4 linked regions of the Schizosaccharomyces pombe genome follow. Changing the gene in region 4 together with the main gene of any one other region gives a genetic interaction. Each region holds a gene or a part of one and is shown on either strand. Other genes may lie near its edges.

Region 1 (5,648 bases), on a different chromosome or scaffold from region 4:
CTCTAGTTTAGAAATTTCCCTGCTTACGAGCAATTGTGGTGGAATGCTCAAAGAATAATCCAATTGGCTAATAGTCAATCTTTGTGTTTCAAGATAGTCCATATAAGAGACTAATTCGCTCAAATCTTCCATCTCAAAATCTTCATATTCTTCCATAGACTTAATGTTTCGTTAGGATGATTTATTCAGGTGCGGGTTACGTTAGTTCACACATTTAATAGAATAATTCTTTTTTTTAAAGTAACCAACCAGACGGTAAAAAAGCTTTACACTAGTTTTATTAAAATGGTGGAACGTAAATGTCTAGTGTAACCAAAACTAGCAATGTAAACTGTGCTAAACTATTGATGATAGAAGTACTTTCACAGTTTCTTTTCGTTCAAAGAAATTAAAACTTTGAACAAGTAGATTAAGTTTCTGGCAATGTCAAACTACGTTTGTTAATGGCTAATGTTATTGCGGCACAAAAACTAATTATCAGCGATGCTTCAATGTCTAAGATGGAGGTCTATTTCATTATAATTGTTATTAGTAGATTCAAAAACCTTTAATCTAATTTAATTTTGTCATCTAACTCTATGCAAATTGTTTCATAAGATAAATTAAAGTATTTCTCTATTAATTTCCCAGTTCTTTAATATACAAAATTCATTTCAAAAATCCAGAACTCTATAAAAAACCCATGTTTTTCTTATAGTTATCAATTTCTGCTTGGGTCAAACGATCTTGAGATGACCAGTCAGCAGAAGAGCTTCTTGGTCGAAATCGAATCTTCGATCGATCCTTCGATCGGAAATACTCATCCATTTGCAGAGGTTTAATCATACCGAAAATTTTGTCTGGATCCCACTTTTGTTGTCGTTTTAATTGCTCTCGTAACTCAGGTGATTCAGCCCACGATGGTAAATTTACCTTTTTCTTATTACCTTCATCATCTGAATCATCCGAATAATCGCTATTTATTTCTGGTAATTCCACAGACGTGTTAGGCGATAGGGATCCATATCCAGGAAAATAATTCGACTTAGGCGTTTTCAGTAACGGTGATTTAGAAGAGGGCTCCTGCATAGACGAGTTCCTACCTTTAGCTGGAGCGTGCATAGAAGCTTTTTCAATAAAAGGTTTATTTGATTGTGAAGTACTAGAAGATGGAAGCTTTCCTTTCATAATACCATTCTGCTTAGTAAAAGGGTTGACGTTGTGATGCATTGTTTTGAATCCATGTTGATTCGTAAGACCGACATTACCATGTACGGGATTCTTATTTTTTTGTGCAGCTATCTTCTTTTTTCGATCTTCATTCTGACTATTAGTGGTCCCTATATCGAAGTTGTTTCTCAAACTACCAACAGAAGGCTGAGTTACAGAAGTAACTGAGTCAGGCTCCATTTTTTTTGGAATAGTTGAATGAAATGCCAATGACATGTCCTCAGCTAGCTCATTCGCAAACCTTTGAGTGGGTTTCGACGTGACGCGTGTTAACCCAGATTTTAGCATATGCCTTGAAGTTGCACCGTTGTCGGTTAACGGTTTCTTCTTTCGTAAATCTTCTTGTCTTTTTAACATATTTGAATGCCATGAAGCATTCACATTTGATGGGTTAGTAACAAGTCTTTTGGTCGTTGGTTTTTCTGATTTTTCCTCAAATGGCTTATTTGAGTGCATGCTTTTACTTGATGGTATAGCATCTGGTTCAGAACGAGGTTTATCGGAAATAGTATGTTCCATATCCCTAATGTTAGATGAATTGGCTGATGTGACAGTTTTGGTCTGACGACTTGGAAATTCGTTGTTTGATAACTCTCGTTCTTTACCATAGAACTTTTTGAAGCGATGAGTTTCGTTTTCAGAAGAGCGGCTTTCCATATTTGAAGCATTTGCTGCTCCATTTTTTGCTTTTCGCTTTTCAGTTTGCTCAAGTTCGCGTTGAGAGGCTGTGGCCACACGAATTGCAATCGGACGTGAATGCGGAGCAAAGTTGTGATCAGAATTTTGACGAGAATCATCATGCAATGGTTCAGATAACTTGTGCAGAGATTTTTCAATAAATTCCTTCTTGGAAGGCGGCAAAGAAGAGTCCGTATTTTCGTTTGCATCCGATTTCAAAGCGTTTGAGCTTGGTCTAGAATTTGAAGAATTAAAATCATTTGACGACTTTCTGGTTGAAAGCCTTGTGAATGTGCTTATCAGGGGGATCTTAGGCGCTTGAGTGATTACAGCATGACTTTTTGCAGGGCTTAAGGAAGACTCGTCGTTTTTATTATTCAGCTTCATTTTAGCAAGGTGCAAATCCTTAGCTGCAGAGTTTTTAGCAGCATCTAAAACTGCATTAATCGGTTTCTTCGTGGGCGGAGTCGAAGGAATTAATCTTTTATTAGAACTTACTTCTTGTATTTTCTGCCTTAATCGTTCGGCACGATCATAAGTTTTCAGTTCATAGTGGTTTTCATTGGAGGCAGTTAGCTCGTTCAATTTAGCAATAGAATCGGGAATTTTGGCTTCAAAAAAGTCAAACTCTTGACTTTTGGCATCACTTCCAGGTTGAGAAGATACAGGTAGTCTCTCTTCATTGGATTTTAATTTGGCCGTTAATGCCTCAGCTTCTACTGCGTTGGATTTATCGAAGGAAGTAATTTCGGGAGGGGATTCAAAAATAGTTGGATGAGGTTTAAGCATTTCATTTTCGACAGACCTTTTTCTTTCCTTGGAAGAAGAAGTAACAGTTTCAGAAGAGAAGGCGACTCCTGAACTTCTTTTACGAGTTTTGTAAGAAGTCGATAACCTAGTAGACGACGTGAGCGATTCCTTGGCTGATAAATCTGTCTTGGCGGGGATGACTGATGAAAGGAATTTTCGAAATTTAGAAGGACTAGAGGACACATTGGTATTTAACAAAGAAGAAGGAGCATCAGAAGTAGTTGAAGGTAGTGCCTTGATAGGTTCATCTAATGAAATTTCAGGATTATTCGTTAAGTTGTCTTTAGTACGCCGGCGATTTAACTGATTTATAAATGAATTAGTTGATTCCACACGACTGTGTAATGATGCAGGTCTTTTCAAAATCTCTTCACGTTTAGGTAAAGTGACAAAAGAATAAGCGGGGTGCTTTTGCTTTGGTAATTTATTAGGACTGTCAGCAGTTTCTGATGGGGAAGGCGAAGTTTCACGAAGAGGAACGTTCCATTCAGTAAAACGACGCTCTACTGAAGTAGGACTAAAAGCTGGCAAATTAGTCGGCAATCTCGTTTCTTTAATAGGAGATACACCACCTTTAGTAGATTTATTAACTATATCATCTTTGACATATTCAGAAGATAGCTTAGTAGAATCCCTATCATCATCAAATTGGGTTTCTGTATTAGTAGCAGTATGTAATTCTTTAGGTTCCTTGACTGTATTGGATTCACCCGACTTATATCCTTCAACAGCAGCTTCCTCAAGCTGATGTTGAATAGATGTTAACCGCATGCGAGGCGTTGGTAACGCACATCGATGTACAGGACTTAAACGAGGAGTGGAGTACTTCTCCTTTATCTTGGTAGGTGTTCTCACTAATTCATATATATCCCTAACCATCTAATTAGCACATATGATAAACAACAAATGCGTACGACTCTAGCTGTAACTTGGAAACTTCAAGCATGTGTTCATTCAACCAGTCCATGGTTTCAGATACAAGGAAGAAGAATTCTTTCATTTTTCCATTAGTGAGTTGTTGGGAGTATTCCAACTCCTTATTAAACCATAGTTCTGACCCATTAGAGCCCATCCTGTTTGGTTACATATAAAGAATGAGCTAGTTGCTGGAGAGTGGTCGGTGGTGGAAGCAATCAAATGTCAACAATATACAACAGTAGTTGTATACCTAAGCTTCCAACTAAATTTATAAACAATTATGCTTTCCCAATTTACAAATGATCAAAAGGTTTATTGTTTTCAAGATTTAAATGTAAATATCAAGTTCCGATGTTATAAACAATTGTTAGGAATATAGACATCGGTTAACGACGAAGAGGTTTTTAACGAAGTAACACTTTAAGCCATACATTTTTTCGAGATGCCGATGCTGATTTTATTGCAGTAATTATTGAGTGGAATAAGCAACCCAATGCATGCAACCTATCGTTCGTTTGATCAGCAGACAGAGTTAACTAGTTTGTGTTCAAATATCTTTCACCATTTGTTTATGTTTAGTATATAGCAAGCGGCACAGACATAAAAGTTTCTATTGAACGGCTACAAGCAATTTGTCATGCTTTATACGCTTGTCATTTATTGGATTTTTTTAATGATTCGATCTACAATATTCACGCATTTTCTCCATTTTTTGTTCACATACTTGCCATAGCTTTTAAAAATAATTTTTCCAATCAGACAGAGATAAATGCCAAATATCATACACTTGTCTTTAAGTTTTCAAGAATGTATTAAAACATGGGTAACCATTCTCAAAAAATTAAAAGCTTATTCAATACAAAATTCACCGTTCTCTTTTCATTTTGAGCTATTTTAACTCAATTAGACTTTTCATTCCTTACTCTGTTTTAGAGGACAATGTAAAGAGAATAGGGTAATAAATATGCTTTTATAATTGACAGTCTGTTATTATTCTTTTTAGCAATTTAAATATTTTTCTGAATTCCTAAAATTTCTTTAATTAATTAAATAAATAATATATACTTTTTTGTCTGACAGATCAAAAAAGGAAGGGTGTCCGAGTGGTTATGGAGCTAGTTTAAGGCACTAGTGCGAAAGCTCGTGGGTTCGAGTCCCACCCCTTTCAGTAATTTTTTATTGCATTTTATAGCAAAACAGGGGAGTGTGAATTTGGCAAGCTGTTAGTTTCTATAGGGAATTTATAACTGCGAACTAAGTTTTCTTACTTGCAATGGCTATATATGGGAGGCCGAATTGCTTGAAAAACATAGCTTTGCATTTGAAACAATTCGCAAAAGTTGGCACTAAGGAAGAAGTTAAGATAAAAAAAATTCAGTTACTTTGGTTTTATGATTTGCAATTAAATTACAGTGATCGCAGAAAGATAGCAGCATTACGAAGACATGTTCAACTGCTACATAACACTTGCTATTGTTAAAGTTTTCGAAATAGTTACTGCCCGTTACATGTAAAGAACAGATAAAAAATAAATTAGAATTACTGTCTTCTCAAATGCTTAAATATTACTACTATGAAATTGTTATATAAACAAAATGTAGCGTTGCAAAGTATTACAGTAAACTTCGTTGTGCTGCATTATTAGTATTGTCCGGGACTTACTGATTCCACGACCTGTAACTAAATTGCTATAATCTCAGACTGTTAGCTTGGGATTGCCTGGAAATTGACAGGATGAGTGTGAGGAAGAATTCTCCTGCAAGCCCAAAGCCAACTTCCCGTTCTAGGGAGAGTTCCAGGTCTCCGTCAGTGACTGATTTGAAAGGTAAATGGAAATTCAAAGCAAAACTTGACTGACCACCATTTTTAATAGACCATTCCAAAGCTAAACGAACATTATGTAGAAATATCTTACTTTATGGATCCTGTAAGCATTCAGAAAATGGATGTGCTTTTCGACATGATGGTGTAAGTATAGGCGTATTCTCTTAACTTCAGAGAAGCTTCTTGCTTACGATTGTTTGTAGCCTTTC
Region 2 (6,198 bases), 3.7 Mb from region 4:
ACATTGCTAGCATATCCTTTAAATTTATTGGATTATACATTTTTTACATGGTATCTTTTAGTACCAAAGGGTTAACGTTGCATTTTAAAATTTGTTTTTAATAGATGATTAAAGTAGCTCAAATTGTCAAGGAGTTTAACAGTTCGACTTAAAAACACAGTACTTGTTCCGGATGCTTTCAGTATCTTATATAGCAGTCTAATTACAATGTCTAAGAATAAATTTATACTATTCTATGGCACAAAAATGCGTTTCACCTTCCCTGTAGACTACTTACTAGACTTTAAAGAATGTTTATGATATACCTGTTCTGTATACGGTTTACAAACTAAAGTATGTAGTATGCTTGAAGTTTACACAGCGTTTGACAATAGATCGCAAGTCGTATACAACAACATCAGGTATGTTGTCATTAAAGGATAATATGAATGGATGATATAGCATTAAATGGATTATTATTAAATCTGATTTTGAAGAGCTGAACCTTTCAAAAAAGATATGCAAAAGGAAGCACTTAAAAATCACTTACTATCGTTGACGGATCATTTGAAATAAAATATGTAATTAACCACTTTTTGTATGTTTACATTTCGTTCCTTGACATACTAGAGTAATTCTGTTACTTGACTGTACTTTTGAATGTGTTACGTCCGTATTGTGTGTTCTTAAAAGAGCAGTCACAATGTGCTATACAGATGAAATATTGCCTAGTCTGCTAGTCATCCATAACCACAATGCGTGATAAGTGGAGGAAGAAACGCGTGAGACGCCTTAAACGTAAAAGAAGAAAGATGAGAGCTAGATCGTAAGTGTTGTATTATATTACTCAGACCTGCAGACTTCTAACTTTGAATTAGTAAATAAACGGATCATCTACAGCTCGATGGACTGAATTAAGCGGTCCCTAGCGTGACGCTTGGATATCATGGCAGAGGCCTCTTCCTGCTCTAAGTCGTAACTTTTCTCAAGTTGGTTTTTTTCTACCTAAACAACCTTCATTTGCGACACCATTAGTGCAGTCTTAATTGACGTTCAAAATAGATCTTGTTTTTATACCTTTGACGAGTAATGATTTGAGTAGTCGGTAAATACGAGAGAGGTGTATTTTCTAAAAATTATAGAGTAATCTATTTACAATATGCGAAGCGTAATTCTAAAATAAGCCTATGTTGACGCTGTAACGCAAACCATATGTCTAATCACACATCTTTTTAGCCCGGAAAAAAGTAGCAAGTTGCCGTATAGCAGGTCCGAAATTAGGGCTAGAATGGATGTTTTTGCTTAACCAGTTTGGTAACTTCCTTTGTATACTTGATCGATTATATCTGGAATCCAAAAGAATTATACTTGCATAATCATCTCGGTGTCGAATCGCTCGACCTATACTTTGATTTACTGCTCGCATACAGGTATTTTCATAAAATTCCTGTGAAGCTTGTTTTGCATTTATGCCTTTCTCCTTGGCCTTTTCCTCTACGTATGAGACCTTGGCTTGCCATTCCACATCTTGCGAGTTAGGGAACGGCATTCCTACCACCATTACGGCTCGGCCAAGTTTATCTGAAAAGTTGATTCCTTCTGAAAGTCTTCCTCCTATCACGCTAAACAACATTCCACTCAAGCCTGCATCTACGGACTGTTTATAGTGTTCAAAAGTATCCAAAGGATTATCGCCAAAATCTTTACTTTCAATAAATAATGGTTTTTTTGCATTTAAACGATTTGTAATTCCATTCATTTCCCATACTTTTACAGCTTGCTGCAAAAATGCAAAACTGGGAAAGAAAACCACGACGCCATCTGGGATAATGGAAATGAAGTTCTGAAAAGTCCTTCCCAAATCTTTTAATAAATTCTCATCGTCTTTTCTTTTATGTGTAAATTCAAAAGGGACGCCTGCAGGACCTTGAGAAACTAGAATGGTTGTAATATTTTCAGGAGGAACTATATGGTCACATGAAAATGGAAGTATACGAGATTGTTCATCTGAAAATAAAAGGGTTATAAAGTCATCAATCGGTGACATGGTGCCACCAGCTAAATTCACTGAACGACATTGTTCGGTCAATATCTCGACATGTTTGGATGGATCGAGTAACAAATATTTTAAATATGGATTGTCCCCCGTTTGTTTTTCGTAAAATAGTTTCCCCTCAGGAGCAGGGTTGGCGATATTCAGTAAGAAAGATTCTAATTGCATTAGGACCGGTGTGTATGGATCCTCTTCATATCCATTGCCGTTTGAAAATCTTTCACTACGAAGATCATTCAAAGACTCCAATTCTTGTGTCCCCAATGAATGCATATATTTCGTATAACCATCGACTTTTCTTGCTAGTTTTGAAACATTCAAGTATTCAGACAGATGGTGCAAGTTAATTTGATCCGCACCATTTGATACCAGTAAAGAATCGACATTGATCACTTTTGAATTCGTATTAGTTTCTAGACAATTTAAAAAAAAAGATTTTAGGTTATAGACAACTTTGATCAATTGCTTTATATGCATTCTATTATTACCATTCAGACGTTTTTCAAACCGCAGAAAATATTGTTGCAATTGAGTTTCAGCAATACAAACTTGTCTAAACGAGATGGAAGAAGAATGCATGGAACAGATTGCATCAATCAAGTTATGAGCTTCGTCAATTATACATATATTGTCTTTAAGAGTCAAATTAAGCGCATTTCGTGCTGATTCTTGTAGCAATAAAGGATAAGGTAGGGTCACAATTTGAGCTGAATCCACTGCTTCCCTCGTTCCGTAATAAGGGCAGACCTTTAAACGCTGGCCCAATTCTACGAGTTCTTCAATATCCATTATTTCAGCAAGTGCTTCATCCCGGAAGTCCCATAATTGAGTGTTGTCTTGTAAAAAGGGACACTTGTGAGCTGATCCTAAAATGTAAAAGTTAATATTAAACTGAATTTTCAATCTAGTGAAGTTGTTAAAGTACCTTGAAGCTCAATGCATTTTTCATTTAAAGCAGACGTTGGTCGAAGTTTCCGGACTTCATTATTAATACAAAGATTCTTACGAGAAGCCAAAGAAACTACTCGTATTGGCGTTGAGAAGGTTTGATTATTGAGCTTTTTAATTTCCTGAACAAGCTGTTGCAATTGAGAGTGGGTTCGAGAAGTAAAATATATCTAGCAGTAGGTTAGAAAAATATTACCACTAAATGAATATTCCTTATAAGCACCTAAATTCGTACCTTTTGAACTATAGGTGGTTTTTCATTATCGGGACTTAATTTTCGCAATAGTTCAGAGACTTTGGAACTGTAACCGTTATTAAATAAATCTTCAGATTGTTCAGAAGTCGATGGCATCGTATATTCTGCTGTAACTAGATATTCGTCCATCGGATCAACCGAAGTATTAGAATTATTACAATTGTCTGAGGTTGAGGCTTCTGCGTTTATGTTCCTCCTTTTTGTTTCCCTGTGGTATGTAGTTGAATTATTGCTCATTTGATTTTTGCGACTTTGGTTCCTCTTTCGAATTTCTTCAAGGCGCTGTTCAAGCCGTGCATGTGTTTCTTTTACTAGATCCTTTTGTATTTTCAAGTCTTGCTCTAGAACCCAATCTGGAATTTTTGAGGATGTGTTAGATTTATTGTCATTAGATTTTTCATTATCCTCAAGTAAAACACCTCCATGTTCGTCTAGCCAAGTAAGTGAAGCACAGATTAAACTCAAACTTTTTCCCGTTCCAGTTGGTGATTCAAAAATCCCAATCTTTCCATCGCTGATGGAAGAGTACAAACTGCGCATGAACTCTAGTTGGATATCGTATGGGGTATACGGGTGATGAAAATTGGTTTTAAATTTTACTTCTTTCGAATGACACATTTTAAAGGTAAAACAACCTTTTCAGAAACCTGGAAATCTTTCGTATACTATTTCGAGTTTTGATAACAGTAATTGCACATTACAGAGCCAAATGTAAGGTTCCCTTGTAAAATAGTTAATAAAGCATAAAATAACACCTTATAAACACGGGAAAGCGTATGTTTGAGCTTAGATTTTTCAGTACAACAAAAGAGAGTAGCGATGATACTAATTGAATTTACCAAATCATATGCAAGCTGGTTTCTGAAGAAGGAAGTACTGTTGCATAAACTCCATCCGTCAAACTGTCTATTTATATAACAAGAAGACTTTTCAACAAAATGTTAAAATGAACAGAAGAAACCGCTTTGCACGAGGTTAGGCAAGTTTACTGTATGTTAAAAAACTGTTTCAGTGTATACTGAAGTTAAAATATATTTGCAAATTTAAATCAAATATTCAACTACTTTTAAGGGGAGGAAACTAAATTTAAGAAAATTAAATATGCATTTCTAGTTTAACAGAAAGAATGAGATTTTGTTAAAAGTGCTAAATTCTCTTTCAACACTAAGCCTACAATTCAGTTTAGAAGAACAGCAAACGCTCAAAGGTTAAATAATATATATATGCTTGACGCTCTCTGTATTATCGAATATTATCATAACTAATGGAAATAACTATGGAAAAAGAAGCTGAAGTATGGTTATGTAATTTTCTAACGCGTGCAATCGTTAGTCTTGTTTTTGTCATCTACCAAAGAATCGCAATACCGCGAAAATGCATTTTTAAAATGCGTTGAGATTTTGCTACCAGATCAGCAATAAAAGTATCGAAACTTTTTAATCAAACTATCAATATGAAACAAAGCAATAGAATGTTTTAAAGAAATATTCGAAGCATCGATATATGATATAAAGATGTACAGGAGTACGTTATTCACTCATTTCTATCACTAGAGCATTTTCTGTCGGCAACAGTATTTTGTTCGTTGCTGGCCTTGTAGATACATTTATTTCATTATTTATTAAGCACTGTCGTTAAGTAAATTGTACAATATGTCAAGTAAACGCCGTCAAGCTTTAAGAGACTTTTATAATCTACCTGGTTCAAATAGCTCATCTTCAACTGTTTCTACAACTCGAAAACCGTCTAGCTCTAATACCGTTTCGCCAGTGGAAGAAACAGCATTAGATAAAGTTGATCCAGAGTTCTCAGATCCAAATTTCGATTCAAATGCTTACGTTTCTAAATTTATGGAGAAAGCCACACCAGCCGAATTATTGCAGCGTGATAAATCTTTGGTTGCTTCGATTCAAGGGCTTTCTGTCGACCATAGATCTTTGGTATATAATCATTATAAGCATTTGTTAGAAGCTAGTGATGCAATTAACTCTTTTTGTAAAAATTTAAATACACTTCTACCTGCATTAAACGATGCTTATCAGGCATGTCCAAAGCCTACAAGGAAAAATGGAAATAATGATACGTATTCAGCTCCCCAATCTTTTAATGGAAATGAATTTTCAGCGCCATAGTCGCAGATTTGTTCTACCATCTCAGTGTTAGCGTCTTCACATCATTTCAAAAGCTTGGGCAATGACGAACACCATCTCATTTATCAGTTATTCATAATTCATTAGTAAAAAGGTTCATTCATCATATATTCGTTATTCGCAGGGAATTTCCATTTTCATATCGGTGAATTCGGTGTCTTACTACCTCTCTCGGTCATTTGAATTTTCCGTCATTTAGGGTACACTGTCCAATGTAATATTGAGCTTATAGTACGGTCTCCTACTTTCTATACGTTTAATCATCTGCTTAAACAAGCGCAAACGACATTGATTTAAAGTTTTTTGCTAGCTTATTGTAGTGATTCATTGGTTTTATTCTCTATATTTCTCGTCACTTCTCCTCGGTGAAGTTAAGTGCTCTAGAAATGCCTTCAGGCGCGCAAGGAAATACTCAATCAGCTGCTTATAAACGTATTGTTAATGTCTCTCGAAATTTTCAATTTAAAGCAGCCTTAAATAAAGATACTCGCGAATGGACGTTTCAGCATCGTAGTAGTGGCACTGCCCTTTACTCAGCAATTGCTTCATTGGGAGATCCTAGTTCACCCTGGGACGCCGTGTACGTAGCTTCTCCTGGACCTGTACAAATTTCGGAAGGAAATGACCATACAGTGGAAACTAAGATTGATGAAGCTGCTGTTGTTCATCGTTCTTCGTCGATTGTCATAAGCCCAGAGGATCAAGAAATTTTTCTAAAGAAGGCTACTGAGTATTACAGGAAAAAGAACATAGAAGCTGATATTGTCCCTGTATGGGGCAAGGTTCAACGTGTACCACAAGCTAAGTCCTCG
Region 3 (3,133 bases), on a different chromosome or scaffold from region 4:
AATCCTCAAGCTTTTAAGAATAAATCTTTAAGAAATTTCAAAAAAAAACTAGATAGCCCCAAAATTCAAGAAGCAAAGAGAAAAGAGGAACCGTCCAAGTCTTGGTATTCTCTGAGGAAACGATGATTCACACTCAGTACTAGTAAAGGCTAAGTAACTGATGAATAGATGTCATACATACTGAATCGTTATTAATAGATAACGCGAGTTAATGTTTATTAGTGATAATGTTATTAAATACGGAAAACTCCGTTAACAATAATATTCCAGCTTCTCAACAGTCTTAAAAAAATTGAGGAACACGTCTTGACTAAATTAGAATTTCTAACTTTGATATTTAAAATGATATACACATTGTTCAATTCTGTTAAATTATTTGCTACTGTGTTCATTTTGTAGTCAGAAACCTACCTCAAGAGATGAATGTCGTTACCTTGGCATATAGAATCTTACCTCGCAAATGCTACCATCAGTTTAAAATGTTGATTTACTGCCGCAAAGTTTCAATGAAAACATCATTGCGAGCTGTTGCTATAGTGTATTTTGTTTAATGAATAAGAGAAGATGATTATATTTTAAAGAATGCAAAAGTATTATTAAATAAATGGATAGAATAGAGATGCGTCACAAAATTATAAATATTGGACATTAAAACAAACATAGGATTCACCGAATTATAGTTAAACAATATGGCCGGAATTTTGAGATTTATAGAACACATCAAAGCTTTGTTTTCTATTATCTCATCTAATAGGTAAGGATCATGCCAAAAAAAACAACTAAGGATTCACTCGATATGCAACTTGACAATCAATTTTGTGCATACTCGTACTAAAACTTCGTAATTGAACTTGTTCAGCATCTCTTAAAATCCTAGGGTCACTGTCTACCCAATCTGTTGGAACTTCGCTGTCTTTATCAGCGTATACCAAAACGTTAAACGTACACTGTTCTTCTAGTTGAGGCAAAAAGGTCACTGTAGCAGTGATTTGACGAATTAGAGCTTGAATTTCTTTTTGTACTCGCAGTTCATCTTCTTTGTTGCCAATGTTCTGAAATTGATCAGCTGTGTCAACCATCTCCACATTAAACTGCCACCGCTCTAAATCTTCACCTGAACATTTACTAGTAATTACCAAAATCAGTTTTTGAATTTTTTTTGCAAACATCCATTCTAAAAATTTGTTAATTCCAAAAGTGATAATAGAACAACAACTCACTGTGTAACTGAGATACAATTTTTCGAATGTAAGTCTTGACCTCTTCATCTACACTGACAAGCATATTTAATCCATATTTCCGAACAACTTTGAAGTCTTCTGCTGGGTAAATTCCTCGTTGAAAAAGGATTGAGTTCACCGCATATTCTTCATTAAGTTAGCATGGCATATTTGAAACATTTACAAACCAAAAAATTCGCTAACAAGTTTGGAAGAACCTTTCAGTGAAAAATTCGTTCTTATGGGAACGCTAGACATGTTGTGTTGTAGATTTTTGTAATAAGCAATAGGTTGTGTAGTAATTGAGTAGGTACTGCCATGATGGTTGCTTAGAGGTACCCTTTCAACGTAAAAGCAACCATATAAGCATTTAACAAACAAAAGTGAAAACTTTAATAATAAGACTACTAAAGCATTTACGCAAACTTGAAAGTAACTAATCTGTCATTTTAAACTCATTTCACTATCTCTATCATTAAAAGTCATTGATCGTAATAATGTCAGTTTGGGGACAAAATAAGTTCATCTCCTCTTTCAAACTTTAAAACATCTCTCCTTATTTCGTTATGGACTCTAAAGCCTTTTTCCAACATGATTATATAGCAAATAATAGCCCGACTCTCCATCTCTTTTTTCAAGAGCAAGTCTATAACGTCCATACAAACCCCTAAACTTAGTCAGTGAAATGTTCTATGTTTTTAATTAACTTACCTTTATTACAGGGGCAGGAAGCCAATGCTTTGGTGGTAATCGCCGAAACCCATTCAGTACCATTTAATCGCAAATTGAGAATCTTTAAATATATTCTCCAAAACTTGGCGACGGATTTCAACTTTTCATTATTTAGAGTGATATCCAAAGTCCTTAAAAAGTACTGTGAGTTTGTTGGCTCAATCTGTTGAACGGCAACATAAAAAAGGTACCAACAAGCTGTAACAACAGCATTTGAAGCAGATTTTAAAATTTTCATAGCCCTAATTTTTGGTTTGTTCTCTTGTCTCAACTTAGATTCAAAAAATATATAAACTTCCCATATAGCCGTATTTGCACTGAAAAGTGTAACTCCCTTTTCAAAAAAAGGTCGAACCTTGGGTAGATTATAGAATTGAAGAGTGGTAGCTTGATAATAAAAAATCAATGAACAATAAGAAAAATAGCATTCCATTTCTGAAGAAGCCCCCCATCCATAGCTTTCGAATTTTTGAATGCATAAATACACACAATTATCCATTGAATCCATATCAGTACAGTGTGTCCATATAGTATAGATAAGACAAACATACAGCAATTCTTCCTTGCTGGCGCAATTTTCCAACATACCAAATAGCATTTCGGATGCTCGATTATTATCGCTAGTTAAAGATTTATCACCAGGAAACAACAGGCATTTTATAATAACTAAGCATCCTTCAGTATCATTAATAAGTAGCTTTCTAAAAGCCCAGTTTTTGTATACATTTAAATTATCAATGTAGCGCAATTGGGAAGCATGGATCTGAAAAATTGTTTTAAAAATTGTTTCAGCCATAGTAAAAGCACCACTTAAGTGTTCCAATTGAGCGTAAGTGTTCCAAACAGACACTGAACTATCGTATTTTTTGAGAATCTTCTTTACAATTTTACTGAATTTGGTTAGAAGGAAACAAAAACATCTACTTACTTCACTTGGGGTTTCTCCTCACTTAGGTTCTTCGTCTCCATTTGCTTTAAATAAATTAAATAAACGCTCGCTAAATACTCATCGTCCGCCGAAAATACTAGTTGATGAAAAGCACGCTCCATTGATTCCTTCACATGATGTGCAAGGTTGTAATCAAATAACTTGAAATTTAAATTTTTAAACGACATAAGAGAAATGAAGAGATCAATGTATGAAGGTAGTATACTACAGGGAAATTGAAAGCTGTTTTTCT
Region 4 (4,020 bases):
CAATTTGAATAGAAGTCATATATATAACAAAAGCGCAACTTGTGACTAATAATTAGATTAAAAACAGTTAGAAATATAATAGTTATTATTTAATTTTTTAAAAGTCTTTGAGGAGCAAGCAAAAAGTCCAAGTGAGAACTCTGTTGTTCAGTCTCAGCATACAGTAGTGTCAATCGATAATATGTATTGCCGAGAGGGGACTGATGTCTTCATGTGTTGCTAGCAATAAAAAAAGATAACAAGGAAATTCGATAAATACATGTTCATTTGCAAAGTTTGCCATAATTTGCCATTATGTGTTTATATGGTAAATCTGCCAATCTGACATAAACATATTTAAAAAAAAAAAAAAAGAGGAACAAAATATGAATTTATCCCAGCTTCTTAGAAAAATAGCATAACCAGACTTCTTCATCATAACTTGCTTGTATTTTTTTTTGCTAATGTACAAAAGCAGCAACAATTAAAAATCTATAATTACAACTGTGTTTACATAGCAACAATTACATTCAAACCCTTATTTATCTTTAGCTATACAGCTATTCTCAAACGAATTTCTCAAGAGGCAACATAGTACTTGATAAAGATTCAAACTTGATACACTACATCTTGACCCTATCTTTGAGTTCAGTTGGTAACCCAAACTTAGAAGCATATGGAACAGAAGAAACGGAGAAGGCAGATATTCATGCACCCTCATTTTTGTTAACAAATTTATCTGCTGAGGTTTATGAGTAACGATTTTGCATGCATAAATTCTTTATTTAACGAGTAAAATTACGTTATTATTAGACACGATTTTGAATGCATGAAGAGCAGTGCATGCTAAATTAATAAATGGTAAAATTAAAGAAATTAGGTTATCTAGAATGTCAAACCTTAGGTTATTTAGAATGTCAAACCATAACGACAAAAGGTATTTTACATTTCTCAAGTCACTCGTAATCAATTCAATGTGAAAGAAAACAAAGGCGTTCATAAACTAGAATGTGATGTTAAGCGCCTAACAAAAATTTGTATAAGTATAATGTTAGATGCATTTTTCGAGTAAGAGAACAAGAACTCATACTACGACACGGGACTTGATAAAAGCAATAACGTCAGAAAAAAGCGAAATCTAATTTATAAACAAAAGAAAAAGAATTTTTTAAAGGAACACAAAAAAATTATTCATTTTCACGGAACGTTAAGTGGCTTTCATAAAATTGAAGCATCTTCTGAGGACATTTTTTATTGGTGATAGTACTAGGATGATGAGATATTGCACCGTTCTTCCAAGTCAGATAAATTTCCAAGGTTCCATCATCTTTTCGTTCAATTGTATCGATGCTAGATACCAAGTCTTCCCAAGAATCATAGTTTTCTACTTGTTTAACCGTCAGCTCTCTGTTGTCCGGAAGTTTGGGAACTTCCGGACTAGGCTTCTTTTTCGGAGTAACATTGCTAGGGGTCTCTGCTATTTGAATATCCTCACTTTCATTCGATTCTTTTTGTGAAGGAGATTTAGACTCATTGTCAGATTCAATGTGACCATTCGGCTGACCAGAAGGTGGGCCGTTCTCATTAAATTCCTCTTGCGATTTATCGGCGAATTTAATAGTTTTCTCATTCACATCTTCAATCTTTTCATTGGAATCTTTGTCGTGTTTATCTTCATCAGTTTTACGAGACTTTGGTGAAGGCTCCTTTGCTTCGGGCTTTTTAGGTCTTGCAGTCCTCTTTCTTTTAGAAGGTTCTGGTCTTCCTCCATGTTCATTCCAATATGCTTCTATCAACTGTTTGCAACCGCTACAATCGGCTTCTGAACTCCATGTATTATCACTGGGATCGTCATAACCTTCCCATTTCAAAAGGTATTCATAGCCTCCACCTTTTCTCGCCATACGGTGTTTTAAAACCTTTTCTACAACATATTCATCCTCTTCTTCTTCTTCTCCTCCTTCTTCTTCTTTGGCATTTTCTTTCAATTTCTTCGACGAAGATTTACTTTCATGATCGCTTTCAACTTCATTGTCCGACGACCCAGAGTCTGCTTTATGAGAAGCAATAGCCTCCTTTGTCATGCTTGGTAACTCTGGTTCCGAATCGTCGTCAATAACTGATCGTTTTGAAGTAGAGGAGCGCCGATAAGATCGAACACCTCCTTTCTTCATTTTTCACTTGTCTTAATATGAAAATAAACGAGATTTCAGAATATTTTAAAAAGTACTAAACATCAATTTCGCGTTGGTCTTTACAGGTTGTTTGCTCGTTTAGCGAGACATGTTTGGCTTGCTTTTCATGGTGTACAGAATGGCTAGCATCACATAGAGTTCGTTTATTAAAATATTGCATAGAAGTACTGTATTAATCGTTGTCTAAAAGTTGATTAACGACGCCTAATTTTGCTTAGATCACTATCAGTAATAATCATTATTTCAAAAGCATCTCAATTTCCTAGTGATTTACTTAATGCGAAATACGAAAATATTGAACAAATATTACCGTTAGAAATAAAATTAACATTTTAAGTAATGCTGCGAGTAACAAGATATTTGGCTGTTACGGTTGGCATGCTGATTTGTTTTCTAAAGCAATGCTGAGTCTCTCAAGATTGATAAACAATCTTAACTAGAAAACAATTCCACCTTTTAAATTTCGTAGGCAATCATCGTCAAACAACAAAATATATATTCTTATGAGGATTCTTTTTGCACTACATATTACACTGAATAACTTAAGTCGTCAACGAAGTCCCGAGTGGCTCAATCGGTTTAGAGCGTCTGACTCTTATGATGGTAATCAGAAGGTTGCGAGTTCGAGTCTCGCCTTGGGAGTTTATTTTTTCAATTTTTTTACAATGATACTACAATTTTTGGAATGTAAAGATTACTTAAATACAAAATGGTACGTTTAAAGAAATACGTACTTAGGGAAATTATGATAAATTCAACTTATTTGAGCACTCAAATATCAAAAAGAATGAGTAGTTGATGAAGTATCTTCAAAATTTCAAAAAACATGAACTTAGAGGCATCTGTACTGTTTTTGTAGACCATGGTTTATTAACATCTAAAAATAATGAAAAATAGCAAAAACATATGGTGTTGCATTAAAAAATTAGTAACGAATATGAAAGCATAAACATATGGTTTAGCCAGTCCAAAAATAACCCAATGTCTTGTATTGCAAGACACGGCTACCTAACATTTTCCAATCGCTGTTTTTTATCCACAGCTCCGATACGATCCGAATGCGATTGTATATACAAGCACCCTTCCAGGCAACAAATTGAGCATCCATACTTCTTGGTGGAGGAATTACCGAAATAGTAGGGATGTTGGCACGCTTGGAATGGATACGCTCTTCCAGTAAATGAGCAAAGCCCGGGAACTGACCAGCTCCACCGACGATCAAAATGCTTGAGTAAAGATTTTTTGCCTTCTCATCACTTAAATTTCCATCACATGCACTAAATATACTCTGGTTGATTGCATCATCCAAAGGATATATCAGTTTCTCATTCTTTATTTCTGGAGCAGCAAGTGAGCCACAATATACTACCCGTGGAGGCTTGAATTTTACCGAAGGTGTCACCAAATCACTTTCTTCTTTTTTCTCTTCATCATCTTTTCCATTAGCTTTGATGTTGGATATCGGCGTAGATATTTGCAATAAAGTGGTTTGGGCAAGTGATTCGGGATTATTCGGTTGGTTGTCATATACATCGACCGGCACTGGAAACAAAGTATACCGATCATGAAGTTTATTTTCATTTTCAAAAATGTCAGGGCGAAAGAATCCAAGAGGTGCAAGCATTGTTTCGTCAAGGCTTTTAAATGTAAATTTTCTAGTCCCTTTATCAGGTGTTCGCGAAAAGAAGCTATTCAATTGAACATTATAGGTTGCTTCACTTAGGCCACAATATTTTATTTTTAAAGCATTGGCTAAAGACCAATCATACGGAGTTTTTAAGTCAATATCCTGATACGGGAAATGACTTCTCATGAGTAATTTCATGAATAAAAGCGTAATGTCATC

The links.
Region 1: mutations in swi6 (region 4) and pic1 are lethal when combined (synthetic lethality), as found in Schizosaccharomyces pombe (2 studies listed by BioGRID, with this or other methods).
Region 2: mutations in swi6 (region 4) and chl1 together harm fitness more than expected from each alone (negative genetic interaction), as found in Schizosaccharomyces pombe (3 studies listed by BioGRID, with this or other methods).
Region 3: mutations in swi6 (region 4) and mad2 together harm fitness more than expected from each alone (negative genetic interaction), as found in Schizosaccharomyces pombe (3 studies listed by BioGRID, with this or other methods).

The regions. Positions count from the first base shown.
Region 1 is NC_003423.3:2,767,392-2,773,039, reverse strand, and holds pic1 (INCENP-like protein Pic1), read right to left. Parts: upstream 3,833-5,648; 5' UTR 3,770-3,832; coding exon 3,612-3,769; exon of another isoform or gene 3,569-3,611; coding exon 670-3,568; 3' UTR 502-669; downstream 1-501. Other genes in the region: single-strand DNA-specific 5'-3' exodeoxyribonuclease Exo5, read right to left, coding at 1-156; PAN complex subunit Ppk26, read left to right, coding at 5,350-5,440, 5,489-5,583, 5,643-5,648. UniProt on the Schizosaccharomyces pombe protein: Component of the chromosomal passenger complex (CPC), a complex that acts as a key regulator of mitosis. Has a role in sister chromatid cohesion and condensation.
Region 2 is NC_003424.3:5,396,770-5,402,967, reverse strand, and holds chl1 (ATP-dependent DNA helicase Chl1), read right to left. Parts: upstream 4,224-6,198; 5' UTR 3,855-4,223; coding exon 3,216-3,854; intron 3,151-3,215; coding exon 2,958-3,150; intron 2,899-2,957; coding exon 1,196-2,898; 3' UTR 865-1,195; coding exon of another isoform or gene 858-864; 3' UTR 806-857; coding exon of another isoform or gene 735-805; 3' UTR 558-734; downstream 1-557. Other genes in the region: rpl4101 (60S ribosomal protein L41), read left to right, coding at 735-805, 858-864; GARP complex subunit Vps51, read left to right, coding at 4,889-5,368; trehalose-phosphate synthase Tps2, read left to right, coding at 5,773-6,198. UniProt on the Schizosaccharomyces pombe protein: ATP-dependent DNA helicase important for chromosome transmission and normal cell cycle progression in G(2)/M.
Region 3 is NC_003423.3:3,292,620-3,295,752, reverse strand, and holds mad2 (mitotic spindle checkpoint protein Mad2), read right to left. Parts: upstream 1,479-3,133; coding exon 1,409-1,478; intron 1,368-1,408; coding exon 1,221-1,367; intron 1,175-1,220; coding exon 780-1,174; 3' UTR 558-779; downstream 1-557. Other genes in the region: nrl1 (NRDE-2 family protein), read right to left, coding at 1,721-1,887, 1,932-2,842, 2,881-3,133. UniProt on the Schizosaccharomyces pombe protein: Feedback control that prevents cells with incompletely assembled spindles from leaving mitosis. It interacts with the anaphase promoting complex/cyclosome (APC/C) thereby inhibiting APC/C-dependent proteolysis, a step required for exit from mitosis.
Region 4 is NC_003424.3:1,701,849-1,705,868, forward strand, and holds swi6 (heterochromatin (HP1) family chromodomain protein Swi6), read right to left. Parts: upstream 2,251-4,020; 5' UTR 2,154-2,250; coding exon 1,167-2,153; 3' UTR 558-1,166; downstream 1-557. Other genes in the region: Ino80 complex actin-like protein Arp8, read right to left, coding at 3,133-4,020.